4 linked regions of the Arabidopsis thaliana genome follow. The protein of the gene in region 3 interacts with the protein of the main gene of each other region in a pairwise test. Each region holds a gene or a part of one and is shown on either strand. Other genes may lie near its edges. The genes, in order: CRF5, CRF4, AHP4 and CRF8.

What was found.
Region 1: the proteins of AHP4 (region 3) and CRF5 interact in a protein complementation assay, tested with the Arabidopsis thaliana proteins (one study listed by BioGRID).
Region 2: the proteins of AHP4 (region 3) and CRF4 interact in a protein complementation assay, tested with the Arabidopsis thaliana proteins (one study listed by BioGRID).
Region 4: the proteins of AHP4 (region 3) and CRF8 interact in a protein complementation assay, tested with the Arabidopsis thaliana proteins (one study listed by BioGRID).

The regions. Positions count from the first base shown.
Region 1 is NC_003071.7:19,006,866-19,014,951, forward strand, and holds CRF5 (cytokinin response factor 5), read left to right. Parts: upstream 1-4,596; 5' UTR 4,597-4,748; coding exon 4,749-5,633; 3' UTR 5,634-6,153; downstream 6,154-8,086. Other genes in the region: AT2G46290 (Transducin/WD40 repeat-like superfamily protein), read right to left, coding at 1-117, 214-429, 565-784, 888-932; AT2G46300 (Late embryogenesis abundant (LEA) hydroxyproline-rich glycoprotein family), read left to right, coding at 1,527-2,269, 2,367-2,382; AT2G46308 (uncharacterized protein), read right to left, coding at 4,302-4,490.
Region 2 is NC_003075.7:13,907,069-13,915,131, reverse strand, and holds CRF4 (cytokinin response factor 4), read left to right. Parts: upstream 1-4,136; 5' UTR 4,137-4,392; coding exon 4,393-5,400; 3' UTR 5,401-5,590; downstream 5,591-8,063.
Region 3 is NC_003074.8:5,549,807-5,558,051, forward strand, and holds AHP4 (HPT phosphotransmitter 4), read left to right. Parts: upstream 1-4,390; 5' UTR 4,391-4,544; coding exon 4,545-4,589; intron 4,590-4,667; exon of another isoform or gene 4,668-4,677; coding exon of another isoform or gene 4,678-4,704; coding exon 4,705-4,835; intron 4,836-4,908; coding exon 4,909-4,977; intron 4,978-5,211; coding exon 5,212-5,283; intron 5,284-5,476; coding exon 5,477-5,549; coding exon of another isoform or gene 5,550-5,561; exon of another isoform or gene 5,562-5,587; intron 5,588-5,664; coding exon 5,665-5,712; 3' UTR 5,713-5,983; downstream 5,984-8,245. Other genes in the region: AT3G16370 (GDSL-like Lipase/Acylhydrolase superfamily protein), read left to right, coding at 7,122-7,365, 7,446-7,576, 7,670-7,903, 7,989-8,244. UniProt on the Arabidopsis thaliana protein: Functions as a two-component phosphorelay mediator between cytokinin sensor histidine kinases and response regulators (B-type ARRs). Plays an important role in propagating cytokinin signal transduction through the multistep His-to-Asp phosphorelay.
Region 4 is NC_003070.9:26,818,723-26,826,573, forward strand, and holds CRF8 (Integrase-type DNA-binding superfamily protein), read left to right. Parts: upstream 1-3,794; 5' UTR 3,795-4,154; coding exon 4,155-4,640; 3' UTR 4,641-4,949; downstream 4,950-7,851. Other genes in the region: AT1G71110 (uncharacterized protein), read left to right, coding at 1-113, 192-373, 465-749, 842-900, 1,003-1,039, 1,135-1,206, 1,301-1,622, 1,708-2,130; GLIP6 (GDSL-motif lipase/hydrolase 6), read right to left, coding at 2,350-2,585, 2,673-3,138, 3,213-3,352, 3,452-3,698; AT1G71140 (MATE efflux family protein), read left to right, coding at 6,040-6,282, 6,362-6,906, 6,989-7,075, 7,168-7,224, 7,308-7,546, 7,628-7,833.

The sequences.
Region 1 (8,086 bases), on a different chromosome or scaffold from region 3:
TGATAGCAGCATCTTCACCACCACTAACAATGGTTTGGTTCAGGGGACCCCAAACAGCTCTATTGATCTTCTTCTTTCCATCAGGACTTTGAAGGACAAGCACAGAATCACCAACCTCTACATCAATTACATTAAATCAATTCCTTTTACCCATACAAAAAAGACATAGGCTAAAAAACATAAGTAGATTTTAACTTAGAATTGACAACTTACGGTCTTCGGGATCTTCTGCAATGCGTTTGACATGAATAGCAGAGGAAGTTCCCACGAAGTGATCAGTGGTAATCACTGCAAGATGATCACCAACAGAGAAATCCACAGACCTTGCAGGGGCACCAAACTTGAAAGTGAACAATTCTTTGCCAGATTTCACATCCCACAGCTTTGCAGTCTGATCAGCACTACCAGTGATCAATCTAGACGAGTCTCCTAAGAAATCACAAACAAAACACTAATCGTTAAGCTATGAAAGACTAAAACAACAAAGACAACGACTTAAATCCTAAACTGAATCCATTCCATCCACTATATACTATTTGAATTTGAGAGGCTGAGACCACTTACTGGAGATATCACAGCACCAAACAGCACCACTGTGGCCACGGTAAGTGCCAAGACGCTCGCCGTTATCGGCAAACCAGACTGTGGGAGTGTGGTCTTTGGCGCAGGAGAAAAGCAGATCACCATTTCTGTTGTACCTCAGGAACGTCAATGGACGTTCATGTCCCTTCATCAAAATCGGCCTCATCCTCGTTTCTAGGGTTTGATGAGAGGAGCTTTTCATCTTGCAAACAGATACGAAATCAATTCAATAGAAAGAACAAAAGATAATACATTAATCGGAAACAAGTACATGACCAAACGGAGGAAGAGATATGTGCACATACTTGGTTGAATCGAAGACCTTCGGGATTAACGCACTCAATTGTCATGACGGAGGAGGCGACGGTTGAAGGACGACGGATTTGATCAGCGAGCGTTCTCTGAGATTTTGAGGGCTTTAAGTGGTGAATCGTTAAACCGGTGAGCGTACCATTGGTAAATAACTCCGAATAGAGCCACGTGGCAGTAATGGGCTCGAAACAGAGTCCACCTGGCCTAAACATCTAATCTGTAGGCCCATGCCACTTTGGATGTATCAAACTCAATATGATTATCAGTTATAAATTAATCGACTAATCTAATAACTGAAATTTGAATATTTCAATGAATGTAGGAAGAAGAGAAAAAAGAGGGAACACGTCAGCAACAAAAACGGCGCGCGTGAGTCTCGGGCCTAAAACGAAATCCCTTCCTCACGTCTCAGCCTTCTTCCATTAACGAGAGAGAAGAGACAACGCAACACAAAAAAACATTCTCTTCTCTCTCTCTCTCTTCCAAAAACTCAAAATCTCTTAGAAACCAAGTTTGCCTGCAATCATCATCATCATAGCATCTCTCTCTCCATTTTGAAGATTTCGTTTTGATCTTCCTTGATACGATTTATCAGGAGATCGTCAGAGAGGTGAATAATTAAGAGAAAAAAGATGGCAGATTATCAGATGAACCCGGTTCTTCAAAAGCCACCAGGTTACAGAGATCCAAACATGTCCTCTCCTCCTCCTCCTCCACCTCCCATTCAACAACAACCTATGAGAAAAGCCGTCCCTATGCCTACTTCTTACCGACCAAAGAAAAAACGTAGAAGCTGTTGTCGTTTCTGTTGCTGTTGCATCTGCATTACTCTTGTTCTCTTCATCTTCCTCCTCTTGGTCGGAACAGCTGTTTTCTACCTCTGGTTCGATCCTAAGCTTCCCACTTTCAGCCTCGCTTCCTTCCGTCTCGACGGCTTCAAACTCGCCGACGATCCCGACGGCGCGTCTCTCTCCGCCACCGCCGTTGCCCGCGTTGAGATGAAGAATCCGAACTCGAAACTCGTTTTTTACTACGGAAACACTGCCGTTGATTTGAGCGTTGGTTCGGGAAACGATGAGACCGGGATGGGAGAGACGACGATGAATGGATTCCGACAAGGTCCCAAAAACTCGACGAGCGTGAAAGTGGAGACGACGGTGAAGAATCAGCTCGTGGAGAGAGGATTGGCTAAGAGACTCGCTGCGAAATTTCAGAGCAAAGATTTGGTCATTAACGTTGTTGCCAAGACTAAAGTTGGATTAGGTGTCGGCGGTATTAAGATCGGAATGCTCGCCGTTAATTTGAGATGCGGTGGCGTTAGCTTGAACAAGCTTGATACTGATTCACCTAAATGCATTCTCAATACACTCAAATGGTACAAAATTATCAGTAATTAGGATTTTGGTTTTTGATGTTAATTACATCCAAAATTTCTAAACTTTTATATGAGATTATTAATTATTACGTTGCAGGGTAACTATACAGTAACAAGACGGAAGGATTCGAGGATTTGGAAAAACACGATGATCTAACATCTGTATACTTGTAACTTTACTGTAGATATGTTATCTTCTTTCTTTTGTAATTTTATTTTTTCGTGTTTTATACTCCACACATGTTATTAATTTTATTTTTGGGGTATTTGATCAAATTCACTGAGGGGGGCATATTTAGCGAGTGTTTGTTTTATTATTATTTTGTGTGAGATAGATTATTTTGTGTGTAATATTTTATGTGGGTTATTATTTGGGCAGTAAACATAATGTAATGTGGTGATTTTTATGTTAAGAATATTTTCGACATGTTTGTGTAATGGTGGTGGGAAAATATTGTTCAGGTGGCGTATGAATCTTTAGACACTAATGGGCCCGTAAAGTATATGGGCTGAAATGTTTCGTAAACAAAAATATAGATATCGAAATGGTGTGCCATTTTTGGGGGCCTAAATTGGTAAAATGTCAAGTGGAAATGTGGAATTCGAAAAAAATGGCTTGTTTTTCAGAATTAGGATAAGAAGTCCAAAAATAACAAAATTCCATTATATCAGTTAATCTGTTTTTCCTCATGTGTATCACTACAGAGAGATAGCTGTATCTGTCATTCAATGTGATTTGTAAAAATGATAGATAATATTTTAGATGTACAGTCTAGTTGAGAATGTACTATTTTTGGTATTATCTATCGTACGACTGCAGGTTTCTGCAAAATTCTCGCTATACAGAAACGATTAGGATAAAAATGGATGTCTAGATCAAATGTCGGAGAAGAGAGTCGATCACTGTTTTTATCTTGTTTATTTATATGATGCATGAACTGCTTCAAATGTGAAGTAAATTGTTCACGATGTTTATTCCCTTCAACTAAATGCAATAATAAAACAGAGAGAAAAACATGTAGACGATAATACAAAGACCATCTCGTTTCCTACCTACACCAACTCATACCTCGTAGTATAACCAAAAAGCAAATAATAATTAGGTTACAACAAATAAATCTCATGCCTCAACGTCCAACGCATATCGTGGCAATTTCTTTTGTTATCGCTTTGTCTTCAAGGTTGTTCATGTGGCCCTAATAAGATAAGTCCAATTTCTCTTTTGTTTCATATCTTTTGTTTCTTTCTATTAATAGATTAATGCATGTTAATGCACGCCACATACTATATAAATTAATTTTTGATTATAGTATTCCTTATTTATTTCCCGCTACGAATCTCTTAATTATTTGAATTGATTATCTTCCGAAACTGCTTCGAAAGACTTGGTATATATTATGACCCCAGATTCTTTTACAACAACTTACCAAAGAAAATGAATCCACCTAGATCCCCATAAAAATATACACAATAACCTGACCTGGTCAGAAATTCAGTAACAAATAAAGAGAAATTGAGTCTATATTATTTTTTTGTCTTTCTAGTTTATGACTTTTATTATATCAGATGATCCAATACCACTATAAATTTGTGGTAAATATTTTTTATTTCTCATGATAAAGTGCCAAAACAAAAGATATTGAGAAAAATTATCCAAAATTTGTTTTTTTTTTCCTTTTTAGTGTCCAGTTTCAAAGCTGATTAATATTAGTATAAGGAAACAAAATATATAATGTCTGCAATCACTTGATCTCCAAGCAAACAGATCATAATTTCCCAAAATAAAAACATTCTTAATTCAAATCAAGAGGAGATAAATAATAACAATCAATGATCTTTCACAAAAACTTTAAAAACATTCCGATTACATCATTACCATAAAATTCATAATTATCATAGTGGGTCAAAAGGAGTGAGTGACAGTACTGTGACCAGTCTCACGTGAGAGAAGGCCCGCCCATTTCTTCTCATTAGCGCGCATGACCTTCACGAACACATATAGGCGCGTGTCATGGTACAACAATAGTCAAAGTTACTTGTAAACCAAGCTATAGAGTGAACCAAAACCGAAGCTCTTGAATACCGAAATAATCCACGTGTCAAAAATCGGAGAAGCGGCTAGTCGTTTGAAGCGCCCACTAATCTCTCTCTTAATTGCCTTACTTAAATTTTCATTAACAGAAAACATAATTATGATACGGCTAAATCTCGGAAATTCCATAACGATAATTTCGAAAATCAAGAAGGAAAGTAAGAAAAAGCCAAAAACACAAAAGGAAATAATAATATTTTTGAAAAATGGGAAAAAGGAATAAATGAGGGGGGGGCGTGACTATATTTAACAAAGGGATTGTTACTAAGAAACGGCGTTTTCTTCTTCCTTCATAGATAGCCTTTTTGACTCTTCTTTCTCTCTTCTACTTTTTTTCAGGCTCTCTCTCTATATCTCTATCTTCTTCTCCGGTTAACTAAAAGAGAAATGAAAAGCCGAGTGAGAAAATCCAAGTACACGGTTCACCGGAAAATCACATCCACACCGTTCGACGGTTTCCCGAAGATTGTCAAAATCATAGTCACTGACCCATGCGCTACTGATTCTTCCAGCGATGAGGAAAACGACAACAAATCTGTTGCTCCGAGGGTGAAACGTTATGTGGATGAGATCAGGTTCTGTGACGAAGATGACGAACCTAAACCGGCGAGGAAAGCGAAGAAAAAGTCCCCGGCGGCTGCGGCGGAGAACGGTGGAGATTTGGTAAAGTCTGTGGTGAAGTATAGAGGAGTGAGACAACGACCTTGGGGAAAATTTGCGGCGGAGATTCGTGATCCTTCGAGTCGTACTAGACTCTGGCTTGGGACTTTTGCGACGGCGGAGGAAGCTGCTATAGGTTACGATAGAGCCGCGATTCGAATCAAAGGTCATAACGCTCAGACGAATTTTCTCACTCCTCCTCCTAGTCCGACGACTGAGGTGTTACCGGAAACTCCGGTGATTGACCTTGAAACTGTCTCTGGTTGTGATTCGGCGAGGGAATCGCAAATCAGTCTGTGTTCTCCGACTTCTGTTCTCCGGTTTAGTCACAACGACGAAACAGAGTACAGAACAGAGCCAACGGAAGAACAAAATCCGTTTTTCTTGCCTGATTTGTTTCGCTCCGGAGATTATTTTTGGGATTCCGAAATTACCCCTGACCCTTTGTTTCTCGACGAATTCCACCAGTCCTTGTTACCAAACATCAACAACAACAACACAGTGTGTGATAAGGATACGAATCTGTCTGATAGTTTTCCGTTGGGAGTGATCGGAGATTTCAGCTCATGGGATGTTGATGAGTTTTTCCAAGATCATTTGTTGGATAAGTAATTTGATGAGTTCTTCCCCAGAATTTTTCTGGGTTTCTCTTTTTGGTTGTGTGAGTGAGATGAGTGGTTTGATGACAACGACGGGGATGAATCTTAGCCGTCCGTTTTCCATTTCGTGGACGGCTCCGATCAGCGGAAGAAGCGCAACGGAGTTTTTATTTATCTGTTTGAGAATTTTATAATTTAATTTGCGAGTAAATATAGTAATTAGTGTTAAGATTGTGAGAGTTTAAGTTAATTAGGGAGGGGTTTTGAATATTGGGGATTTTGGGAGGTTTTTGTTTGGTTTCTCTCCAAGTCTGTCACTATGCAAGGAAGCAGTATAAAGACCGTATATATATTTTATTATTAATATTGATAAAAGTATTTATTTAGTGCAAATCTTTGTCTTTTGTTTCCTTCGCATGAATCTCTCTATCAAGTGGGGTTTATGTGACTTGTCATTTTTATTGTACATAAAAACATCTAATCACATTCTTCTCCCCCTAAACATGTAAATCGTTTTAATAAGCCAAAAAAGCAGGGAAAATATCGTAAGATCCTAACTATATGGATTAAGACCAAATCAACTATCTAATTTTAAAATATACATATAGTCAAAAGACGAATTATTTACATCTAAAGAGTATCTTGTTGTGTTTTTCTTCTTCTTCTCTTTTGGCACTAAGTGTCAGAGCAACAATGCCCATTAATGTGAAGAACCAACTCATTGAATCATCTATTACCCTACACATTGTCTCCACTTTAACAACCTTCTCAATTTCAAAGACATTCAATTACTACACCTCTTTTTTTTTTCCTTCTTGTGTTCAAAATTTGGTCCATGTCTACGCAAAACAGTTCATTTGATTCAATACAAACAGCAAAACGAAACTATACAAAGTTAGGTTTACATCTTTTTTTAAGGAGAAATACTGTAGTGTACATGGTTGTGGATGTGAATTATGTATTGAGTTGATATATATTCAATGGGAGACAACATGAGAAGAACAAAAAAAAAACAATGAAAGAGTGAGGAGAAGAGAAAGACAATGTATTGGGACATGAACTTAGATGTCTTTCTGTCAAAGACCACCACAGGCTCTGCTTTGGCAAATTGGAGATTTAAAGGAAAGAGTTTTCCAATGAAGAAGAAGACTTCTCATGATCTTGTCGTTGACCTTAGTCCCCCCCATTATAAACATTTTTAATTATTTACTTTCTAATCTGTCAATCTTTCGATTATGACGTTACCTAATACTATTACACAAAAACGTCTTATGGAATTGTCATTTATTTATTCACATGGGTTTCAATCTGTCACTCTCTGTCTACTTTTGGAAATGTTTTAAATTTGATTGTAGACTTTTCTTACTCTTCTACTAACTACGTTTGTTTTCTTCAAAATCTTTACTTTCTTTATGCAATTGTGAAGTGAATGAAGTAAAAATGACCATCAAAATAAATAAATACGTAAGAGAATAAATTGTAGTAGAAGAGAAAGAAGTCTGAAGTCTGTGATGTTTTAGAAATAAAAAAAAAGGACCATTCACCAAAAACAGCAATAACAACAGTATTGGTCCGTTCGAGGTTTAATTTGACCAATTGAGTAGATTTGTCTCTTTCGTGTTTTTAAAATTGGACCAGACCGTTTTTGGCTTCCCGAAGTGTGTGACTACTCTGCCCTGAAACCCTCTTTCTCGTTCAGAAGCAGAGCGCTCCCCATTCCTCTATCAGAAATTTTAACAACAATACAAACTGAAACCTTTGATTTTCGTGGTTGAATGGTCAAAACACACCCAATAAAAAAAAGGTTGTGATTTTTAGTATAATGCATTTTTCCTAAGATGATGGTTGCACCAAAAAGAGAGAGGCAATTCTGTTATCCTCCTGCATGTTAGATCATTTATCCGAACAAACCATAAAAATGAAAATATTTTGAAAAAATTAAAGTTTGTTTGTTTTCAAAAAACATATTAATCCCATGCTCATGAGTGTGACAAAAATGGACCACTAGCCGCATAGAATCACAATGAAGATTTAACAAAGCAAAAACAAGATATTGATATTCTAAGATCTACTTGATTAAGACATGCAAATGCATTAAAATTAAAAAGAAGAATCGACCTTTTAATGCAGTCATCTAATGCGTGTGGTAGGAAATGCTCTGTAAACAAAGTTTTTAAATGAAGTCGAACAAAATTTTTAGAAATTGTAAAACATATCAACCAATAGTTTTTGGCAGTAAAATTTAAAAGACTTTTAATTTGTAATATCTCAGTAGATGACTGGAAACAAAAAAAAGTGGGTCTAAGCCCATGTAGCAAACCACGTTGCAAAAGGAAATGTCTTTATCAGACAGAGGTTGGCCCAAATCAAATTGAGAGGTGAGACAAGTTGCCTCTGTACCAATGAGATTGTTATGGGTCCCATAAGATCTTTAAGTGAACCCTTCTTAAAACGCTTTTACACTTT
Region 2 (8,063 bases), on a different chromosome or scaffold from region 3:
TCAAATCAAAGTTTATTTTCTTTCTCGAAACTCCAACACTTGTATTTCTATATATTTTGAGTTTTGGGTTTACCGAGGCTTCCAAGTCCATTCGAATAAGTTTTTAAATGTGTGTTTTCACTACTCGAGCACTACTACTGATAAAACTTGTAAATAAATTATACTATTAGAACCGAATGGTATACTTTTCCTTCTAAAGCATTTAAACTACCACTAGTCACTAGATGCACATGTAAACTCAGCATCATATATGGTCTTAGTGTGGGTTAGCAGTTGCATTGAATAATCTTGTCTTTTACTTCATAATAGTTCTATGTTAAATCTGTAATTGTAATAGATATGTATGCATGGTATATAGTATCATGAATAGAAATTGTTTATATAGTAAAACCTAACAGCATAACACTACATTACTGTGTTCTACACTTCTACATAAACCAATTATATTCGTATATGAATACTCATACGTACGAAATTTAATGATCTCTAAACATATTAGAAAGAACGAAAGCAGTAAAACTTTCTGTTTCCAACCAGCTAAAGCCGTTAAAACTAGAGTTATAAGTTATCTTACCATTTGTCTTTCAACTAGTTTCGACCTTTTACATGATTCAACAGATTTTCTAAAAACTATCTCACAAATTTGAGTAGTACTATTACACAAAAAGAAAAGATTCACGTCTAATCCCACTAAGAATATATCAATTACATTAACCCACCAACGGCAATGTTTCATGTACTAAAAATACGAAAATTATTGTAAGAAATCAGAATATCAGCTTTCCAGAATTAAAGGCAGACTAACACCCGTTGCAACCCAAATTAAAACCATTGTTTTTGTTAAAGTGCAACCCAAATAACCATTACACGATCTATTCGAGCATGGACCGTTCTCTATTACAGAATATAGTACTTTCTAAGAGTCACCATAAATTTTCTAATTTTTATGTCTAACGACCGAAGGGTTTACTTACTAAATATCCCTTCAATACCCCCGAAAACTTATACAATGTCACTCTGTCAGTGACTGGACTACTTTTAATCTATGTTCAAAGTCTCCATAACTTAAAAAAAAAAAGTTTATTAATTATGATAAAGAGAGAGGTCGTGCCCAAGAGAGCATGGTTAACGCCAGGTTTTTATTAAATATTTAAATTAGAACTGAAGAAAATAACTTAGTTACAGCCTGATCTTAGAGATCCCCTGTTTTGTCTTTAGTAAATTAGAGAATCGTAACCTTTGGTGGCCTCCACTAAATGGCATTAATGACCAGTCACTAATGTTAATATTGCCGTGAATCAAATCTCTTAAACAAAACCTTTTGCGTTGAATAAAACTTAAAATTACAGTGGACACTTCAGCGGTCTCAAGAGTCAAGACAAGTGGAGGTAAGAAGAGGAGTCACGATTCATGTGCCATGAGTCATGGTACTAAAAGGTTTCGGTGAAATTTTCACCGTGAAAATCAAACTCTCCGAACCAGACAATTTGTCTTGCACCAGATCCTAAACAAATTGGTTTAACTTTTAGTTTCCTTTTGGTTCATTTAACATGTTATTCCTATCAACGCTAGTAAGGTAGAGCTTAGCTCAAATGATCGATTGGGTTGGGCACTTATTTCTACAGAGTAATTTTAAAGAATATTAATGAATAAATGTTTTTACGATAATTGTTAAAAGTTTGAATTGTACATAAAAAAGTTATTTATATATGAATAAAAATAATTATAATGGAACTTCGATAAATTATTTTTAAATAGTTACATTTAGATTTCAATTTAGTGTATTTTCAATAACCAATAATAATTTAGGCTATTTTAAAAGCTATAGTTTTACTTTTACCTATACATTTACATATATATTCCTATAATGTACTACATATATTTATTATAAAATTTTGATGAATTTAATGTTCGCGAACAAATTCCAAGTATCTATGTAAGCTATTTTTATTTTTATTAGATATATGACCAACATTTCTTGCTTGTAAACTAAGGCTGTCCACGAGAATGACTTGAGTAGTACTCACGAGTCGCGCGACCATGTAGCTTCTGCTCCAAGACATACATTACCTTGGGAAAACTCGAAACTCACACGTTAATTTATATTATCATAAACTTGGTTATGAGAAGTAATTACTCAAGCGGTGACCTTCTCTAGTCTTTATTTGTCCATCAAAGTTCGAGCTCATTTTTAATTTAAAGCTATGCACCAAGACCAACGTACATCACATTATTATATAAGTAACTAATGGTGATAAAGCTTTCAACGTTTTGCTATTTTGAGGGGTGGCCCTTCTTTTAAGAATGGATCTTTGTCCTTAAATTTATTTTTTACCAACAAGTCTCGTTTCTTTCTTCTATTTGGATTCTTCGTTCATAACCGTAGATGGACACGTTATATATGCACACATGACACATTGTATTAGCTTTCAACAAAATCTGTAACGCAATCTTCTTTTTATTGTCACATGTCACCGATTAATGGTGAATGGCAACAAAAAGATGTTAATATCAAAAAGTTATAAATATTGGGTTGGGTATTGTTACTTCAACCCAGTCGTTATTAAAAGTCATTGGTGAGAAGTTGTTATCGCTCCAAAAAAGAAAGTGGTCAACCCAAGTCTAAAACAAGATTCACAGTTTGTCTAAATTTCAATGTAGTCACTTAATTGTCGTTTTTAGTAACACACATGTACGTATTATAATATGGTTCGTATAGTAATAGACGCATATATAAAATATACGTGGATTGGTCACTTGGCTCAATGTAGGACAGTGGCCAAGAACACTGCACTAAACCTCGGGGTTTGTCTTTTGTCAATCCAAAGGATTCTCCATGTCTCTCTCTTCTTCCCACTTTGGATATTCAGAATCAAATCGTCCTTGGCTTCTCTCACACGACCTTTCTTAACCGATCTTCCTCTCTCTCTGCTTCTAGTTAGCACTATTCTGATGCTCGTCCGACTAACCTGACAAAAAAAAATCTCGTGTTTTTTTTTTTGGTTTCATAATGACTTGTAATTTTCAACTGATTTTTTCAACCCTAAACTAAATCAGAACTCGGTTAGAGATGAATTTTTGTAAGTTCAAGTTTTTGAATTTTCATATTTTCAAAAATGAAAGCTCTGAAACGAAAAAAAAAAAAAATTAGCGCCAAATCCTAGGTTGCCCGCCACGTTACTTATCTCACTGGAAATGAGAGGATTTTACTGAATAATTTGTAACAGTTTTTCCTTAAAATAGAATCATATAATAACAGAAACAAATATATTTTCTTACTGGAAAATAAAGATTGATTCCCTTTTTACATTGGTCGGAATTTACTCATTTGGAACATAAATATAGCATTTACTCAAATAGTATATTTACTGTTGAATAAGCACTTTAGGAAAACACATCACGTGACAGGTTGTTCATAAGAAATGAATGCATGGGACGAAACAGCTAAACGAATTCGCTACAGATGTCGGTCAAACCTGGGTGAAGTCATCATATTTTTTTAAAAAATATTTTAATCTTCAATAATATAAAAAACATATTTGTCTGTAACTAAAACATTTTCAAAAACAAAAACAAAATAGTAGATATCTTTTCAAAAAATGAAAGCAGTTAAAATAAAACTGGGACCGGGTATCTTGGGGTCACGTGATATGCATCGTAGATTTCGAGATTAGAAGCCACGCGCTGCTGACTCAGCAGAAAGATAGTCATCTCAAAGAAGAAAAATATCTCATTTGTACAGGTGTCATCATGCGATTTGCTTATATGAATGCGGCGTCCCGTTTAGTAATTCACTCCTCTCTGTATCAAAATTTGTGGCTAATATATCACTGCGAATTGACGAATTGAGAATGTTTAAAAACCAAAAAAAAAAAAAAAAGTAGATAACTTAACAATTTTTAAAATATATAGTTTCTACTTATCGTTATCAATAATGACTACCAAAATATCATGTAAATTTTTACTTTTTATATGTTTCACAAATAATATAGTTTTTACAAAGACTTTTTTGTTGTTTTACATTTTTTATTGTCACTTTAAAATGTGTTAGGCGGTGTAAAAATGTAAAACTGATACAGTATATTTATGTGACACGGTAAAAGAGGATATTTCAAAAGTGAAAAAATGGAAATAAGTAAATAAAAGCAAAGAATATAAAAATATTTTATTCTATTTATTACTTTATATATACCAAATATGGCTAAAGCCCGAAAGATCCTATAAAGTAGGATTTAACAGTGACTTCTGAATCTTCTCACTTTAAACTTAACAGTCTCTCTTTCTCTTTCATTTTATATACCCTTTTCCTCTCTTTCTCCAAATCTCTGAAAATTTTCACCAGAATCTCTGTTCTTTTTTTCACCAGAATCTCTCTGTTTAAAATAATAGGTGATGATGATGGATGAGTTTATGGATCTTAGACCAGTGAAGTACACAGAGCACAAGACTGTTATCAGAAAGTACACTAAAAAGTCGTCTATGGAGAGGAAGACCAGTGTTCGTGACTCGGCCAGGTTGGTTCGGGTCTCAATGACGGATCGTGACGCCACTGATTCATCAAGCGACGAGGAAGAGTTTCTGTTCCCTCGAAGACGTGTCAAGAGATTGATTAACGAGATCAGAGTCGAGCCTAGCAGCTCTTCCACCGGCGACGTCTCTGCTTCTCCGACGAAGGACCGGAAAAGAATCAACGTTGATTCTACGGTTCAAAAGCCCTCTGTTTCCGGCCAAAACCAGAAGAAGTACCGCGGCGTGAGACAGCGACCATGGGGAAAATGGGCGGCGGAGATTCGTGATCCTGAGCAACGCCGGAGAATCTGGCTCGGTACTTTTGCAACGGCGGAGGAAGCTGCCATCGTCTACGACAACGCAGCAATCAAACTTCGTGGCCCTGATGCTCTTACCAACTTCACCGTACAACCAGAACCAGAACCGGTACAAGAACAAGAACAAGAACCGGAGAGCAACATGTCGGTTTCGATATCAGAATCAATGGACGATTCTCAACATCTATCATCTCCGACATCGGTTCTCAACTACCAAACATATGTCTCGGAGGAACCAATCGATAGTCTTATCAAACCGGTTAAACAAGAGTTTCTTGAACCAGAACAAGAGCCAATAAGCTGGCATCTTGGAGAAGGTAATACTAATACTAATGATGATTCATTTCCATTGGACATTACATTTCTCGACAACTATTTCAATGAATCATTACCAGACATCTCCATCTTCGATCAACCTATGTCTCCTATTCAACCAACAGAGAATGATTTCTTCAACGACCTTATGTTATTCGATAGCAACGCAGAAGAATACTACTCCTCCGAGATCAAAGAGATTGGTTCATCGTTCAACGATCTTGATGATTCTTTGATATCCGATCTCTTACTTGTGTGATATTTTTGCCATTAACCAAACACCGGTTTGGTTGCAAAATCGCCGGTGTGGTCAAATTTTGTATGGAGTTGTGATAAGATTTTGTTTTTTCTTCTTTTTCTTTTTTTTTGGGTGTTTTGTGATTTTGTTAAGAAGTAATTTAATGTTATCGTCGGCTTGTAAAACAGTTTTGGAGAAATATTGGGAAAAGAATAAACTAATTAATTTATTAGAATTGTTGTTGTTGTTTGTTCTTGTCAATTTCTTTGAGTTGCACGAACGTGTTTAAGTTTTTTGTAAACGAGTTTTGATTATAAAAAGCGAAACTAAAATTCTCTTTGGCGAGAGAGACCACACGAGGAGGCGCAAATCACGGTAGTGACCGGTGGAGCAAGTGGCTTTTGGGTCAGTCGGTGCACTTTTTGCCTTTCTCTATTAAACAAAAGTGGGTTTTGTGTTCTGACTCTGGCGGTAAATAATACTACTAATTTGGAATTTGGAAACTATCCTTTTCAGATATGAAATTTCTAAGAATTAAACTTTGACTAAAATATATTGTTACTAGATTTGATTTTTCTTAAAATTAATGTTGACACTGATTCTCAATCAATTACAATTTGAATAATTCGTCACTTTCTGGTTTTCCTTATAACTTTTTTTCTTATAGACAAAAAAGGGTAATATTTCCTTAAGTGAATGTAGAATAATGTTCAAATGCAATGAACTCCCAACTAGAATAGCTTCCATTTATAGATACGAAATATTTGCCCGTAACTTCAAAATTTCGGTTTCATTCAACAATTGAATTTTGTTTAAATCTTAAAAGATAGTGTTCTGAACTTCAATATTTTCATAACTGCTAAAATATTTTCCCGCGTTCTTGAAGATTAATTTTCGATGAAAGTGTATATATAAATAATAAGTACAGGGCTGGATCAATTTAGAGATAGTATCAAAATATTTAAATAGGAGAAAGGTTTACGGTAAATAAATTATTCATGTGCTTAAGATATTAAATCCAATAGATTTTTTTTTTAATGTACATTCCTAACAACCAAATCATAACAAATGCCTCCCACCAAAAAAAAAAAGCATAACCAATGCCGAACATCAGAAGGGAGAAGCAAAAGGTAGAAATAATTATGTCCCAACTCATATGAGAGAATTATAATACAACTTACTAGGTAAGGAGTTGAATGAGTACGAAATGTTGCACTAGTGTAAGAAATAAGCGCCTCTCCACATGTTGACTTGTACCATTATAATTACGATGTTTTGAATTCATACACACATATTTGTTGGTGACCACATTTGTGGTTTGTTTATGTTTTTCTTTTTTACCAAATAGTTAATATATACACAAACAAACAGAAAGCTTAACGTTTTCATTGGTCGTCTGGATTTCGTCTTCTACCGTCTATTTGCCCGATTGGTTTCATTGAAATCATATTGGAGTCAAATCCATATATATATATATATTTGGTTTTAAATATATGATTTATGTGTACACACAATAAGAAATTGTTAAAATAGACATCTACAAGTCCCTTTCTTCTGGAGAAAATGTGGACTAAAAGACTTCTTCAAGGTTATGATTAATGAAACCATAGTCATTTTGAAAATTATTGAGTACTGAAGTATATATAGAAAAAGAATTTTACCTTTCGTAGACATGTATGCAAGAGGACTCTATAATAACTTTTCTTTGTAAACTATAACAGATAATTACATTGGAGGTGTTTCTCAATTCTGAGAAAGTAATATTCATTTACAAAGTGGCATAAAAAGGTTTGAAATACTAAAGCTTAGTGTTTTGTTTGGTTATACAAACTTTAGATGCAAGATTACATATTTTTTCCTTGCTCTTATCCAACATAGTAATTGTTGTCAGATGACAATATAAAAAAAAATCAAATTCAGAAATGTCTTCACTATGGTAGTGCGTAAATATTTATCGAATCCTCAGTGGTTTGCAGCATTGTAGGTCGCTGCCAAAATTTTAAAATTAGAACATCATTATTAATTAGTTAAAATGTTGTTACTGTTTGAGATGTGTTACTATTTTTTTTCCTACTTCTTTTTGTCTCAACTATGTTCTAACTCTTTAATCATGTTCTAGTTTTATGCATCAAAGGTATTAGAAGTCTCCTATTTTAACGTTGACAAAACCTTTTCTTTATTAAGTGTTTGTCGGTTGATATCTGAAAGGACTAATAATAGAAAGGTCGAAGAAATCTATTAGAAAATACAAAATAGGTCAGTGTCGGAGAAAAGTCAATGCCATCGTCAACAATTTTTACGTGGAAAAACATTCGTTAATTTTCGACAAACGAAGACTTATAATTCATCACTAAAGCGGGACAATATGAATGGCGTTTTACACATCGTCGCCTCCTCAGGTTACAATTAAGGAAATCGTAATAGTGCGTTTTGCTTTTCATATTTGAGAAGGCTCTCATGGATACTTTTTGATGATAAGAATCTAAGTTGAGAAGACAACCTATGTTGAAGTACGATCGGGCCGACATAAACCGGATTAAACATTAAAAACAGCCGGTATTTAATAACTGGACAAAATTAAGGCTCATAAACAGAGGAAACTCGGGTTTCTGGAGCATTGAGCCTGTTTAACTTATTCTGTTAACTTGAAAAAAGAAGCTACAACCTAAAGCCGTATCCACAGA
Region 3 (8,245 bases):
TCTTTGTTGTGAAGCTGCTTTCAGCAATGGCAGCACAAATCAAATCAGGAGACGAGAGAGAATCAATGCTGCGTTGGGAATCATTTCCAAGAAAATGAATAGGGACCCTAAAGTCGAATTTTGTAAATGATTGCAATTTCTGGCACCATAAGTTCCTAAAGTATTCCAAATGAGCCACTCTCTAATGCTAAAATAGTAAAAATGTGTCAACATTTCTCCAAATGTGTATTCACACTATCTTTCATCTCTTTTATTTATGTTCCTTTCTTGTGCTTCAATCTACCGTCTCTTTCGTTTCTCGAATGACTAGTACGGCTTTTATATCAGGATTATTCTTGTAATGATCTTACGTTTTGGATGGATCCAACATATCAATCGCAGTTGTGTCTCTATTTATGTCGTTAGAAGCGTTTGCGGTGGTGAATTATATCCCTAACGCTATCGAATTACAATCTTTTATGCATGGCCGCACATGGACTAGTGCGGTTGATACATTTAAAAGAAATACTTTTTGATACATAGAAATATGTTCAAAGCAAATTTTGCCCGGAAAAAATGTGTTTAGTTCTTTAACAATTGAGAAAACTAGTTGAAGTTAGTTAGATGACATATATTTTAATATTCTACCATTTTTTATTTTGGTTTTGAACGGTGATATAAATAGGATAATGAGTTTGGATTACATTTCCTAATGAGAGAGAAGTTCTATTCTAGTTTCCTAAATTGAAAAATTTTATGTGACCACAAATGCATGGTTAAATTAAAGACGATGGCTAATTAAAGAACGGTCTCACAAGAAAGAGATATCTAATTCACTAGAAAACCTATGTTTACAATGAATTGAGAGCCTTTATAAATGCTGGTATGCATGGTACTAGTCTAAATTGTGTTCAACTAAGCTAATTCCTAAGAATTGTGTGAAAGAATGGAGGATAAGATGTTATTGGAGACTAAACGATGATTATAATCGGGAGTATATGGAGTTCTATGGACATTTTATCTCTATCTGTAAAGGTAAAGGCATGGACGTACGTAGTCTTTAGGGATGATAAGGGTCTAATCTATCTTGAATACTCACTAACGTAATCTAAGTAAGCCAGCTATGATAGCTTAGAGTTCTAACCACACTCAAATGATATAAAGTTTCCCAATGAGTTATAAGAACAATGCCAAAATGGTATTCCTAAAAGGATTCATCACTTAATCTTTTAATATGTTTCAAACCCTTTAATAAAATGGTCAAACGTCTTTATGATGGTCTCTTGTCACCAGTTTTGTTTGTCAAATAGTAGTGGAATTTGTTTTCCATGGTTGTGCAGCCTCATCTGTAACAACTAACAAACACGAATTCAAAATTCTTCACAATGACCATTATGTTTGTACCAATCACATTTATACTCAAAAGAATTATTGCTATTGTTCTGTTTCAACTCTCAACCACGACAACTACTCAAAACTTGATAGTATTTTCTAGTTGGGATGAGTAAATGAAATTGTATATTAACATGATATGTCGGAAGACGGTTCCCTATGATTTAATGTAAAACTCGGGTCTATATTTTTATTTTACTTTTATGATTATGATTAGTCGTTATCGGCCGATTTATTTGTTATTTAACAATTTGTTTAGGATTATAGCTTTTTCGGATTGGGAGGAATCATGTTCATAATATCGCGGAGGTGTAATTATTCACGAAAGTGATAGAGGATAAAAATAAATTTGTTTAGCATATACTTTATTTAACGGGTGATAGATGATTGAAGTTACATCTTTCAAATAATTGGATATTATTGAATTTATATTAATAGTTGAGAAGAATGTTTTTAATTGAGTAATCAACACAATTAAAAGAATTAAAAATCTGTTTGTGTGTCGACATTTGAACTTTTAAGGAGTCATCTTCAATCACGAACCAGTCAACATTGTGCCCTTTATACGAAATACTTAGTTCAATTAGGTGCTAATAGCTACTTCTAATAACTTTAGTAGCACAAATTCTGGCATCATGTATATCCAACAAAAAATCTCAAGATAACTTTCCGAAGAATATCTATCATTTAAAAATAAACTTTCTCTAAACATGTATTAATCTTCCAATCATAGGAATTAATAGTGGAACAAGCTAGCCTTCTAAAGTATTACAAGACTGATTTTGTCTTGAATATGAATATAAGTTATATTACAAACTAGCCTATAGTCTAGCAATTTCCTAATAATATATGAAAACTAAATCTCTACATATTTTCTCCCTTCGAATTAATTAGTCATTTGTACCAGAGGCAGAGATGATAGTTACGAGTTCATAATAATTAAGAGTTAAGACTATATATAGCCTTAAAGCTTAGAAATATACAAAAGATCATAAGAACAAAAAATAATTTTCTTTTATAAAATTAAGATCACATATATATATAAAGGAATAATTGGATTGTGTAACACATATACAACAAAATTTAGATAAATGTCATGAATTTTGTCCTCTTTTATTAGAATTTTATCTTGTATAATACTAAAAGGTAAACATAATAACATTTGATTTAAATACAAAATTGGGGTTTATCATGTAAAACCAACCTCACAAGTTTTGGAATGAATTGTTTTGTTTCTTCTAATTTTGTGGTATTACATATTTGTTATTAGAGGGGAGGTCGGAATTAAGGAGAATAATCGAGATGAGACAGCAAGCAATAATAAAACTTAGATTCTAAACCCACTTCCACCGAAAATATGTAGTAGACAAGTCCTTTATGTGAGATTGGTTTGGTGGGCGGAGGAATAAATAAAGCTGATTTTTTTTTGTATATGATCAATCTCTCTCTCTTCTGTAATTCGATCTCACGATGCTTGTCTGAGAGAGAAAGAGATATAGAAAGGAACAAATTATGCTGTAATGATAAAAAGATCTTTTATGTCTTTGTGTCAATCATTTAGATCACACTTGTTATGTGCTCTTCAGTTTTTCCTTTTTAGATACTTGTTCCTTGTTTCCAATAACAGAAATTTATGGTTTATTTTTTACTCGTTGGATATATGTATACCTTATTCTCTCTCTCTCTCTTTTTGGTTTCCTACTTCTTTCTTTTTTTGTTACAATATAGAAGTAGGAAACACACGCATCCGCACAAGTACTAGCCTTTCCTTGGCACACAACACCCTCTCACCTCCACACATTAATGGAAGAAACTTGGAAAAGATTTGCATCTAATTTTTCAATGTTTGTTGCAGCGGTCAAAGAGAAAGAAAACACATCAAACAGAAAACCCCAATAGAAATCTATTTATTTCTGGTCTTGATCATGATACTAACCTTGACTATGTTTTTAATATAAAAATGTCGTTTAATGTTTATCACAAGATATAATCCTTACTTAGTAATTGAATTCCGGACCCCAAACTAAAATACTTCGAATTAGTATTGCTTTCTGTTGTTGAAACAAAAGATAAGCAATAATAGTGTTTGCTAGTGTGCTAGATTCCAACAATTTTTTCTTCCAAAAGTACAACTTTTTTTTGCCCATTTCGTAAATTCATATGTACATATATAGTTGAATGTTGTGGGTGTACGTAATTGGTACCATTAAAATCAGGAAATCACAACCTTAAAAATAACAAAAAAAAAAAGAAAAAAGAAAAGACAATGATATTATAGAAAACTTTGTGAAAACATGAATTAAATTCAGTAATTAATCAAGACGGAAATGGTCTGTTCAGAATATTTTTCTTGAACTGTATACTTTTTCAATCTATAACTTTCTTTTTCACTTTCAGGAAAATTCGTGTCCACATACATTTTACTAGTATATATTTGCCTCATTTCCAAAGGTGTGTTTCGTATAGTATCAACGTTTAGCTTTTAGGTTCTATATTCGAAATTTTACATGTTTCTATGATGTACGTATATATATAATATTAGTCGTATTCCCATTCGTGAGATCCTTTGATTACTTATTAATTAAGATGCATTTCAGTTATATTTTTGGGCAATAGATCAATCATCCACAGTAGTTTAAGTTTCATAATGGACCATACTATTAATTAAACAATCAACATTGAGGAATTCTCTAATTGAAATCTCTTATTCAAAACTTTAACATAAACACTATCTTATATATATAAAAGATTACTATACATTCAAACTTATATATCAACACACATATATGATCATTTGATAACACCTACCATTTGTGTTATACATATATTTTATAGAGAAGTTATAGAAAATTATACTGAGTATACATCTATGTGTCATCGAAATAAGCTGATAATAACGAATACACGTTTTCTTTTTATGTCTGGAGTAGAATACAGCATTCATGCCCTTACGTTGCAGGTTCCCATCATTTTACAAATATTCTCTTCTCTTTTCTACTTTCTCTTTTTTGATGTAATACGATCTATTTATTTATTCTATATTTCACTATATATATCTCAGATGTCCAACGTTTCAGTATTGCATTGCCACTCGAATTACCTAAGATAAAAACGAATTATCACTTTGATTTTTCGCACTTATAGTTAAATCTATTCTCAAAATTTAAACAAACATGCAGAGGCAAGTGGCACTCATCAAGCAGTCCCTCTTTGATCAGGTTTTGGTCGTTTGTTTCTTCGTATTTTCGTAATATAACTTCGTACGTCGTACCACTTATATATGAATTTCTTCATATAATTTAGAAAATGACTAATATAGGAAAATGCATGCAGGGATATCTCGACGAACAATTCATGGAGTTAGAAGAGCTCCAAGATGATGCAAACCCTAATTTTGTTGAAGAAGTTTCCGCATTATACTTCAAAGATTCAGCTCGGTTAATCAATAACATTGACCAAGCTTTGTGAGTATTATTTTGTTTTCTATTATATATATATTTTTTTTTTTTCAGTTTTCTAATCATTTTTACAATGCAGGGAAAGAGGATCATTTGATTTCAATCGGCTGGATAGTTACATGCATCAGTTTAAGGGAAGCAGCACGAGGTAATTTCCCCCCTTAGTTTTTGACTATTCTAATTACGCCTTCAAGAAATAATTTTACTTAAAGAAATGCGAATACTTAAATGTTTATAAGATAAAAGAATGTAACGCAAAAGTACATTAAAATTACTTCCATTCTCATTCAGGATTCAATGACAGAATCTACTTTAACCAGAAATAATTAGATTTTATGATCGTTAGTTATACTGACAAATGTTGCATTTCTTTTTTTTGTAGCATTGGGGCAAGTAAAGTGAAAGCTGAATGCACTACGTTTAGGGAATACTGCAGAGCTGGAAATGCGGAAGGGTACTTTCGTCTTTATACTTATATACCTTCATGCTTCTCGTTTTTAACAGAAAACTAAGTAACGGGGTCAAAATGAAAATAAGTATAGTTTAGATGGCTAAAATTGCTGCAATTAATCCGCTGAACCTTGAACTTTTACTTTACTTCATTTTCGACCCCCTAATTAGTTTTCTTCGCTTTTTCTTACTTGCAGATGCTTGAGGACTTTCCAGCAACTGAAGAAAGAACACTCAACGTTGAGAAAGAAGCTTGAACATTATTTCCAGGCGAGCCAATAATCAATTATGCTTAATAATTTACATAATTAGAATGTGATTAGAAGTTATCATCAATCACTTTTGATATAGTATTTGCTGAAGTGAAATTTTTTGTAATGAACAGTTGGCAAGGCAGGCGGGGCCTAAGGAGACAGCACGTAGGCCCAAGTAAGAGAGAAAGAGAGAGAGACAGAGATAAATGAGGAATCGTCGTCGAATTTTGTAGCAAAACTATATAATAAATAGTTCCTCTTTATTTTTATATATTTCGATGTACGTTATAAAGAAGGTTTTGGACTTTTATATTATGTCCGTTAATAAACGGTCCAAATGTCTCTATGTTTTTCCCCTTATATCGCCAAATTTTCCCTTGGGAGTTTTATAGCTACGATTACCTCGTAACATATGGCTTCCTCTAATAACGGAATACAGAAAAGAGTGGACCAAAAAAATGCATTTTTTCGATTCTATGATGAATGCATTACCTTGTTTACAAAAGGAAAAAAAAAAGAAACTAAGCTTTACATTATTCGGTTTGTTTCCAGGAACCGTGTCCAAATCCTAAATATTCTTACCTATTTTTATATCATTATGTTAATATTTGTCTCTACTAGTACTGATTAATAAATATTTAAAAAAGAAAAAAAAAACCAAAATATTCTTAGGTAAAAGTCTAAAATAACATTATCATTATGTTACTATTTGTCTCTACTAAAACTAATTATTAAAAAAAAAAGAATGCCATGGCTTAGATGCAAACTATTCTTAGCTAAAAGTCTAAAATAATAACATTATCATAAACAATTAATATTACACTTTTCCATCTAATTTCTCTTACATGCCCTATTTTTCAAACGATGTCGTTTAAGAATATCACATAGACCTTCTATTTCATGAAAAAACTAACTCACCAATGCAAATAAATAAATCAAATGTTTGTTTGTGGATAAAGTAAAACGTTTTCTTTCAATGGCCCAGCATTTACTAAAATTTATTTCAAGTTCTTCCACGTAAAGTCTACACTACATACACTCATACAGGCAGTGTAACGCTGATTCGTAGAGCTGGAGAGTATCACAACAATAAATTTCTCTTCCGAAAGAAAACAGCCTAATATTAGGGAGATATTTACATACTCTATAAGATGTTCTTTAATCTCTTATATATATTACATATGAAAGAATTAATTGTTTAATTATTATCCAAAGCGACGTGAAACCACTCTCATTTATTAGCCCTAGCTATATCTCACAACCTCCATCTTCCTTACTTTAAAAACACAGACCAGATCCTATTTATAGCATCCATGTGCGCCATTGAAAGGTAAATTTATTTAATAAAGTTTACCTATAATATCAAATTATGCAAAACACAGGCTGGTTCAGTTTTTTCCACGAATCAAAAATGGTTGGAGAAATATTGAATAAGAGAGAGAGAGAGAGAGAGAGAGATAGAGTTTCAGAGTTGACACAACATTGAAGTAAACTAAACTCCTAACCTCTTTATCTATGTGTATATATAAAACTCAAAAGTACATATAATCTTCACCATTCACACATAGTCACATACCAAAGCAAAAACATGGATCGTTGCACGTCGTCGTTTTTGCTTCTCACATTGGTCTCTACCTTGTCCATTCTCCAAATCTCCTTTGCTCAACTTGTTCCAGCAATCATGACATTCGGTGACTCTGTAGTTGATGTCGGCAACAACAACTATCTTCCGACCCTTTTCAGAGCTGATTATCCTCCTTATGGCCGTGATTTCGCTAACCACAAAGCCACCGGTCGTTTCTGCAACGGCAAATTAGCCACTGATATAACTGGTAAAAGGTTTTACTTGTTACTCAAGTTATATTTTTAAGTTTGTTTGACACTGAAGTCTTTGTGTTTGTTTTTGTTACAGCTGAGACTTTAGGCTTCACTAAGTACCCACCAGCTTATCTAAGTCCTGAAGCTTCTGGTAAGAATCTTCTCATTGGTGCTAATTTCGCTTCTGCAGCTTCAGGTTATGATGACAAAGCTGCTCTTCTCAATGTAAGTAGTGACGGTTCTTTGTTCTGATACATTTCTTCTTTGATCTGTTTCTTTTTTTTGTTTTGGTTCTGATCTTAGTTCTTTTTTTGGCAGCACGCGATCCCGTTGTATCAGCAAGTAGAGTATTTCAAGGAATACAAGAGCAAGCTAATAAAAATTGCAGGAAGCAAAAAAGCTGATTCGATCATAAAGGGAGCAATCTGTCTCTTAAGTGCAGGAAGCAGTGATTTTGTTCAAAACTACTATGTGAATCCTCTGCTTTACAAAGTTTACACTGTTGATGCATACGGATCTTTCCTTATCGATAACTTCTCTACATTTATCAAGGTAAAGAATTTTCCTTGGTTATCCTCTGTTCTGAATAGAGAAAAAGAAAGATGAGACATTTTGAGTTTTTGATTGACTGTTGCAGCAAGTGTATGCGGTTGGAGCAAGGAAGATCGGTGTGACATCTCTGCCTCCAACAGGATGTCTTCCCGCTGCAAGAACCCTTTTCGGTTTCCATGAAAAAGGCTGTGTTTCAAGACTCAACACAGATGCTCAAAACTTTAACAAGAAGCTTAACGCTGCTGCTTCAAAGCTTCAGAAGCAATATTCCGATCTTAAGATTGTTGTCTTCGACATCTACTCTCCACTTTATGATCTTGTTCAGAACCCTTCCAAATCCGG
Region 4 (7,851 bases), on a different chromosome or scaffold from region 3:
TTGTCTCTGATTACCTCCTCTTAGCAGCTCATAGAACCAAGAGACCTGACATTCTTAGAGCTTTTAAGCCTTACCATGGTGGCTGGAACATCACCAATAATCACTATTGGGCTGTAAGTCCCTCTCCTCTTCTTTGTCATCTCCGATTTTATTAGTTACAGGATCTGTTAGTAATGAACATCTATTTGCAGTCTGTTGGATTTACAGGTGCTCCTGGTTTCATACTAGCTGTTATCTGGCTCTTGTCTTTTGGCTCTCTTCTTGTTGTTTATCATTGCTTCAAATGGAGAATATGTGATAAAGCTAAAGGATCATCATTCGATACACGAAGAATCTGTTTCATTTTGTTGATTGTGTTTACATGTGTTGCAGCGTAATATTCCTCAACTCTTCTACATTGTTTTTTGGTTCTCTGTCATTTGAAATTTGTTGTTCCTGAGATTGCACTGGTTTTTTTTTTTCAGGGTGGGATGCATTCTTTTATCTGTTGGACAAGATAAGTTTCATACCGAAGCTATGCATACTCTTAAGTATGTTGTAAACCAGTCAGACTACACTGTGGAGATCCTCCAGAATGTGACTCAATATCTGTCCCTTGCGAAAACGATTAACGTGACACAGATTGTCATTCCGTCTGATGTAATGGGTGAAATTGACAAGTTAAATGTCAATCTTAACACTGCAGCTGTAACACTGGGAGAGACAACAACAGATAACGCTGCTAAAATTAAGAGAGTTTTCTATGCTGTGTAAGTTGCCCTGTACTGTTAGCTGAGTGGTACCAATTTATGATTAACAGGGAAGACAGTGTTGATATAACTCTGTATATGTACATTTTCAGGCGATCAGCTTTGATCACGGTCGCTACTGTGATGCTCATCCTTTCTTTTGTAGGTCTATGTAAGTCCAGTTGATGTGTATATGCTTCTTTGGTATCTCCTTTTTATTAGCTGTGACATCCACTTGACTTCAACTTTTTATCTGTTATTTGCGTTATTACAGTGCTTTCTGTCCTCCGCCACCAACATGTTGTTCATATGTGAGCCTTTTAATCCCCAACTTCTTCATTTTCGTTAATTTATAGTGGTTTAAAATAAATTGAAAGCTGACTGATGGGGATGTATATAATGATAGATTCGTCGTGAGTGGGTGGATACTTGTGGCTGTGACATTTGTTCTTTGTGGAGTCTTTCTGATCCTAAACAAGTAAGATTTTGCTGTTCTGAATGTTTGTTTTCTCTTGCCTTATTAAGTAGACTCGCAAATGTAGTCAACTAAATGTCATTGTTTTGGTGTCCAGTGCAATTTCTGATACGTGTGTAGCAATGAAGGAATGGGTTGATAATCCTCACGCAGAAACAGCTCTCAGCAGCATTCTCCCATGCGTTGATCAGCAAACAACAAACCAGACTCTTTCACAGAGTAAAGTTGTTATCAACAGCATCGTGACCGTTGTAAACACCTTTGTCTATGCTGTTGCCAATACAAACCCAGCTCCAGGTCAAGACCGCTATTACAACCAGTCTGGACCTCCGATGCCTCCTTTATGCATCCCATTTGATGCAAACATGGAAGATCGCCAGTGCTCGCCTTGGGAACTATCAATAGAAAATGCATCATCGGTACTTTCCTACTCACCTATCTTTGTATATCTTGAACAAAACACCACCAGGTCTGAGACATGTCTTACTAAACTTCTCTTTTCAGGTCTGGGAGAATTACAAATGCGAGGTTACACCATCTGGAATCTGCACCACCGTGGGGAGAGTAACGCCAGATACCTTTGGACAGTTGGTAGCAGCTGTGAATGAGAGCTACGCTCTAGAGCATTACACGCCTCCATTGCTTAGCTTCCGAGATTGCAACTTTGTTAGGGAAACATTTATGAGTATTACCTCAGATTACTGTCCACCGTTAGTACGTAATCTGAGGATTGTGAACGCAGGACTCGGACTGATCTCCGTAGGAGTCTTACTATGTCTGGTGCTATGGATATTCTATGCGAACCGCCCCCAAAGGGAGGAAGTGTTTGCGGATCCACACCCTCAAAGAAAAGATGATAGCTTTGGTAACGGCTTGGATACTCATCACTCAGATGACGAACCTAAGCTTTCTGTAGAATGCGTATAGTATAGAGGTATAGTTAGATAGAATCAGATATTGTATTTCATAATGATATGAAAGAGAACAATAAAAACATTTTGTAGCGTTCATGTTACAGTAGAAGAGGAAGAAGAGACCAGAAGTGGAGCGAAGTTTCACTTTCTGGCTTTTGTTTTCACAATGATTTCGAGTCTTAATTCAGATACAAACTCATTATGAATTCTATATACAAGGGAGATATAAGTATTAAAATGTGATCTTGTTGGTGGCAAGAGCCATGAGATTAAATGGTCTGATATGGTTTTTGTTTCCATTCCATAAAGCTTTTGACATGAGACGGTAAGTGTGTTCTGTGGGATGATAAAAATCCCAAAACAGAAACTCATTTGGGTTATTGCAAATCTTGTATCCTTCTCTTCCACACTGCATCAATCCTCCCAGTGTACCGTTCCCACAACACGCGTTTGAAACATCCGAAAACCCTTCACCAAAAACATGATTCAGCTTTCTCATAGACACATTTGAAAAAGATCTCAAAGATGGAAGTTAATTAACTATATTGAGTTTACCGTAACGGGCAGGGTAGGTTTGAAATCTGTGAGTGATACCATATACAGCTCCAAACACCGCAATGGCTCCAGGGTACTTAGTGGGGATTATGTTCACTATATCTTCAAGTCTTTTATTATACATCTTGGCCATAACATTCATCTTACCAAAGCATTTATTGGTTGGGGCATTAGGAAGCATGGCTCTTGCAGGGACACAACCTACAGGACCTAAGGAGAAGAAAGCGATGCGGCGTGCGCCTAGTTTGTAGATCTGATCAATCGTTTTGTTCACTTGGTCTAACATTGCGTTCACATAAGCGTCTGGAGAAAGTGTAGGAGCTCGGAATGGGAGGAAGTAGTTGAAGATGTCGTTAGAACCAGTTTCTAATAAGAAGAGAGACTCTTGGATTATAGATTTTTCGATAAGGTTTTGCTCTACAAGTGTCTGGAATTGCTGTAGCTGGGTTTGGATCGGTGTCACGCCCTACATTTGATATGTGTACTTAATGAGTGATTCACAAGAAACAAACATTTTATTTGGTCAAGGTAGATATTTACCATAAATTTGTTGGTATCAAGCAAGAGACCACTACCAGCACTAGCAAAGTTAATGCCATTTGAAAAGTTTGAAGTTCCATTCAAGATTTGAATCTGCAATTCCAAGAATGGTTTCTGTAATGGAAGGCCTACAAATTCCGCTGCAATTATTGCGTCAAGAAAAGAAAAAAGAGACAAAAGTAAGGTTCCTTGCAGAAGAAGAAATGTTTTAGTTAACGAGTTGGGAGGTAATTTGTTACAGATGAAGTCAGCGACGGTTCTTCCGTTGGTGAACCTCCCAGTAGGACGGTGGAAAAAGGAAGAACCATAAGGAGGAAAATCAGCCTGAGCGGTACAGTTTTTGTTGTAATGGTTGTTTCCGGCGTCAAAAATAGAGTCACCGAAGGTAAAGATAGCAGGGACGGTGGAAGAAGACTTGGCCAGAACAACCGGAGAGATTAGAAGAAGCAGACACATGAGTAAGTCCATTGAAGAAGAAGAAGACATGGGACAAATGAGTTTATAATCATATAAAAGGAGATTATATACTGACACACATATATATATATATATATATATATATATATATATACAAAATTGACACGGAAGGCAAGAACATTGTTCATGTTTTTGCACTTACTCTTATGTGTGATTAAAGTTTCAAACTTATTCCTAAATTTCTGCTTCTTATTACATAGATGAAGGAAAAAAGAGTAAAGCGTTTTTTCCTTTAGAAGATGGGCTTCAAGCCATGTTGAGAAATTTCATGGATTTTACTGCATTTTCAGCTCTGAGGCCCATACGGCCCACATAGGATTGGTTAGAAAAAAATAGAGAAGTAAATAAGTAAAGATGAAAAGCATCAGAAAAAGAGATTCTGAAAGAATAAAAACATATTCTTTCTCTCAAATGCTTTCCTTTTAATGGAGACGAAGACGGAACCCTAATTTCCGCAAATTCACTATGAAGCGTATTATCAGAATCTCATTCACCGACGCAGAAGCCACCGATTCTTCTAGCGACGAAGACACGGAGGAGCGTGGAGGAGCATCCCAGACTCGGCGCCGTGGGAAACGCCTCGTTAAAGAGATCGTAATCGATCCTTCCGATTCCGCCGATAAACTCGATGTCTGCAAAACACGGTTCAAAATCAGGATCCCGGCGGAATTTCTCAAGACGGCGAAAACGGAGAAGAAATATCGTGGAGTGAGGCAGAGGCCGTGGGGGAAGTGGGTGGCGGAGATCAGATGTGGAAGAGGAGCTTGTAAAGGACGACGTGATCGTCTCTGGCTGGGTACTTTTAACACTGCTGAGGAAGCTGCTCTAGCTTATGATAACGCTTCAATTAAGCTGATTGGACCTCACGCGCCGACCAATTTTGGTTTGCCGGCGGAGAATCAAGAGGATAAGACGGTGATTGGAGCTTCTGAGGTTGCTAGAGGCGCGTGAAGTGGGGTTGGTAATTTAGTTGTTAGCATTAGCAAGAAGGTCTCTCTCGTATTTTGTAAATTCATCTTCTGATGTTGTGTATGATCTTGATGTCTTTCGTCTATGTATATATATGAAACTCGAGAAATGAACTATATTTTGATTTACACACAAATTTTAAGGTACAAATTTTTTTGAATTTTTAAAACGTTTAGGAAAGAAAAGTTTGGGTTGAAATAGGCTCTTTTTATTTGTATACTATTCAATCTTTTTACCATTTATGGATCAACACATAATAGAACAGAACTCTAACCAAATTGAACGTTAATGACTTGGATCAGAGTTATATTTTGATGGTTGATGAAAAGTTGAAAATTCTTTATATATCTTTCCATCTTTTGGTTCTTGTATCACCGTATCAACGATACATTTTTATACTTTGGGGTGTCTAATGAAAAATACTGAATTTATCAATTTACTTTGACTTGTTGAAGACTGATGGCCATGGGTGAGGGGTTTGGAGATAAAGAAAGTAATAAAGAACATGAAGAGATCAGCTAAACCAAGAGACTTCATCATACACATGATATATATGATCTTCTATAATACTATAATAGTAATGACTAAAGAGGAAATGAATGTTTTCGATAATAGTAGTGACTAAAGAGGAAATGAATGTTTTGACAAGAAAAAAAAGAAAAAGAGAGGAAATGAATGTTTACATGTACGTGCACATGAGTTTAAAAATAATAAGTTTGAGGAAACACAAGTGCGTTAGAAAAAAAGCAAACAGATATTTTCTTTTGACTTACGATTATGAAATTGAAAAAAAAAAGGATCTGAAGATAAATTTTGATTGGTTCACAAACTTCACATGATAAACAAGAAGATTTTTCTTTTTTGAACAAATCTTTTGATACCTTAAAGAGGAAGATTTTTGATATCAAAATGAATAAAAAAACAAAACAGAGAAAATTTTGTTTTTGATTCGTTTTGATACCTTTATGAGGAAGTAACATACTTATATTCAAAATGAATCAATGAATCAACATTGTAATTAATTAAATTTTTAACAGACCGCTTGACTAATTAAACAAGTTAAGATTATAATATTTCAACGCATTATTGTATAGTACTTTGGTGATTTGCATGTAAAGTTTTTTTTTTTTAACAAAGACTTTTCTTAATTTGCTATAATCAAGTGCCATTATTTAGATCGAGAGAGAATTTATGGCGGCTGAATAAGAGAGGACGACGCATGTATCTGTATCTCGAGGTGTAGAATCAATATACGACACGCCGCTATAAATTCCACAGAAGATATCATATAATATTAGTATATAAAGTATAGGGTTGATTCGGAGAAAGAGGTTAAAGTATTAGATTGAAACAACAAATCTCAGGGGAAGAAGAAGAGAGAATGGATTCGGCGGAGAAGGGCTTGCTTGTTGTGAGCGACAGAGAAGAAGTAAACAAGAAAGATGGGTTTTTGCGGGAAACGAAGAAACTTAGTTACATCGCCGGTCCGATGATTGCAGTGAACTCGTCTATGTATGTTCTTCAGGTGATATCTATAATGATGGTTGGTCATCTCGGTGAGCTTTTCCTCTCTAGCACCGCCATTGCTGTTTCTTTCTGCAGCGTCACCGGTTTCAGCGTCGTTGTATGTCTCTTTCTTGATCTTTCTCTTTTTCATTTTTATTAGCTTAAGATTCTAAATTGTGGTTGTGGTAATCACACAGTTTGGATTGGCTAGTGCGTTGGAAACTTTATGTGGTCAAGCTAATGGAGCTAAGCAATATGAGAAGCTTGGTGTTCATACTTACACAGGAATTGTCTCTTTGTTTCTTGTGTGTATTCCTCTCTCTCTTCTCTGGACATACATTGGTGATATACTTTCTCTTATTGGACAAGATGCTATGGTTGCTCAAGAAGCTGGGAAGTTTGCAACTTGGCTCATACCCGCGCTCTTTGGTTACGCTACTTTGCAGCCGCTTGTTCGGTTTTTCCAAGCACAGTCTCTGATTTTGCCTTTGGTTATGAGTTCAGTCTCTTCTCTCTGTATCCACATTGTCCTCTGTTGGAGCTTGGTCTTTAAGTTTGGTCTTGGAAGCCTCGGTGCAGCTATTGCGATCGGTGTTTCTTACTGGCTAAACGTGACTGTTCTTGGATTATACATGACGTTTTCTTCTAGCTGTAGCAAGAGCCGTGCAACTATCTCCATGAGTTTGTTTGAAGGAATGGGAGAGTTTTTCCGGTTTGGAATCCCATCTGCATCTATGATTTGGTATATCAAACTTCTCTTCATGCCTCTTTTGGTTTTAGTCATAGAGTTGTTGACATGAATCTCTTTGGTGTTGTTGGATTAGCCTTGAGTGGTGGTCATTCGAATTTTTAGTCCTGCTCTCTGGTATTTTACCAAATCCGAAGCTAGAAGCCTCTGTTCTCTCAGTCTGGTTTGTTTCCATTTTTCTTTTATCTTCTATAGACTTGGTTTTAGAATGGAATATTATCATACCAATCAGTTGCTTTCATTCTTGTTTAACAGTCTTTCAACACAATCCTCCTTGTACCAAATCCCAGAGAGTCTCGGTGCAGCAGCAAGGTTCTTTCTCACTCAACTTTCGATTTTGCAAAGCTATCTATCTAAAACCTGAAACCGCCTCTCTGTTGTTGTTGTTGTTGCAGTACAAGAGTTGCAAACGAGTTAGGAGCTGGAAACCCGAAACAAGCTCGAATGGCGGTTTACACAGCGATGGTTATAACAGGTGTAGAATCAATAATGGTGGGTGCAATAGTCTTTGGTGCAAGAAATGTATTTGGTTACCTATTCAGTTCTGAAACTGAAGTTGTAGACTATGTAAAATCAATGGCTCCACTGCTTTCTTTATCGGTCATATTCGATGCCCTTCACGCAGCTCTCTCGGGTTAGATGATCTCCTTCTATAATGTTTTAAGAGATCTAATTCAATGAAGTTAAGAGTTATAAAATGTGTTTACTGAAACAGGTGTGGCTAGAGGATCAGGGAGGCAAGATATTGGGGCATACGTAAACCTAGCAGCATACTATCTCTTTGGAATACCAACTGCTATACTATTAGCTTTTGGGTTTAAAATGAGAGGAAGAGGACTCTGGATTGGAATCACAGTTGGGTCATGTGTACAAGCTGTTTTGCTCGGTCTTATCGTAATCCTCACTAATTGGAAAAAACAGGTTCGTTAAGTGAAAGTG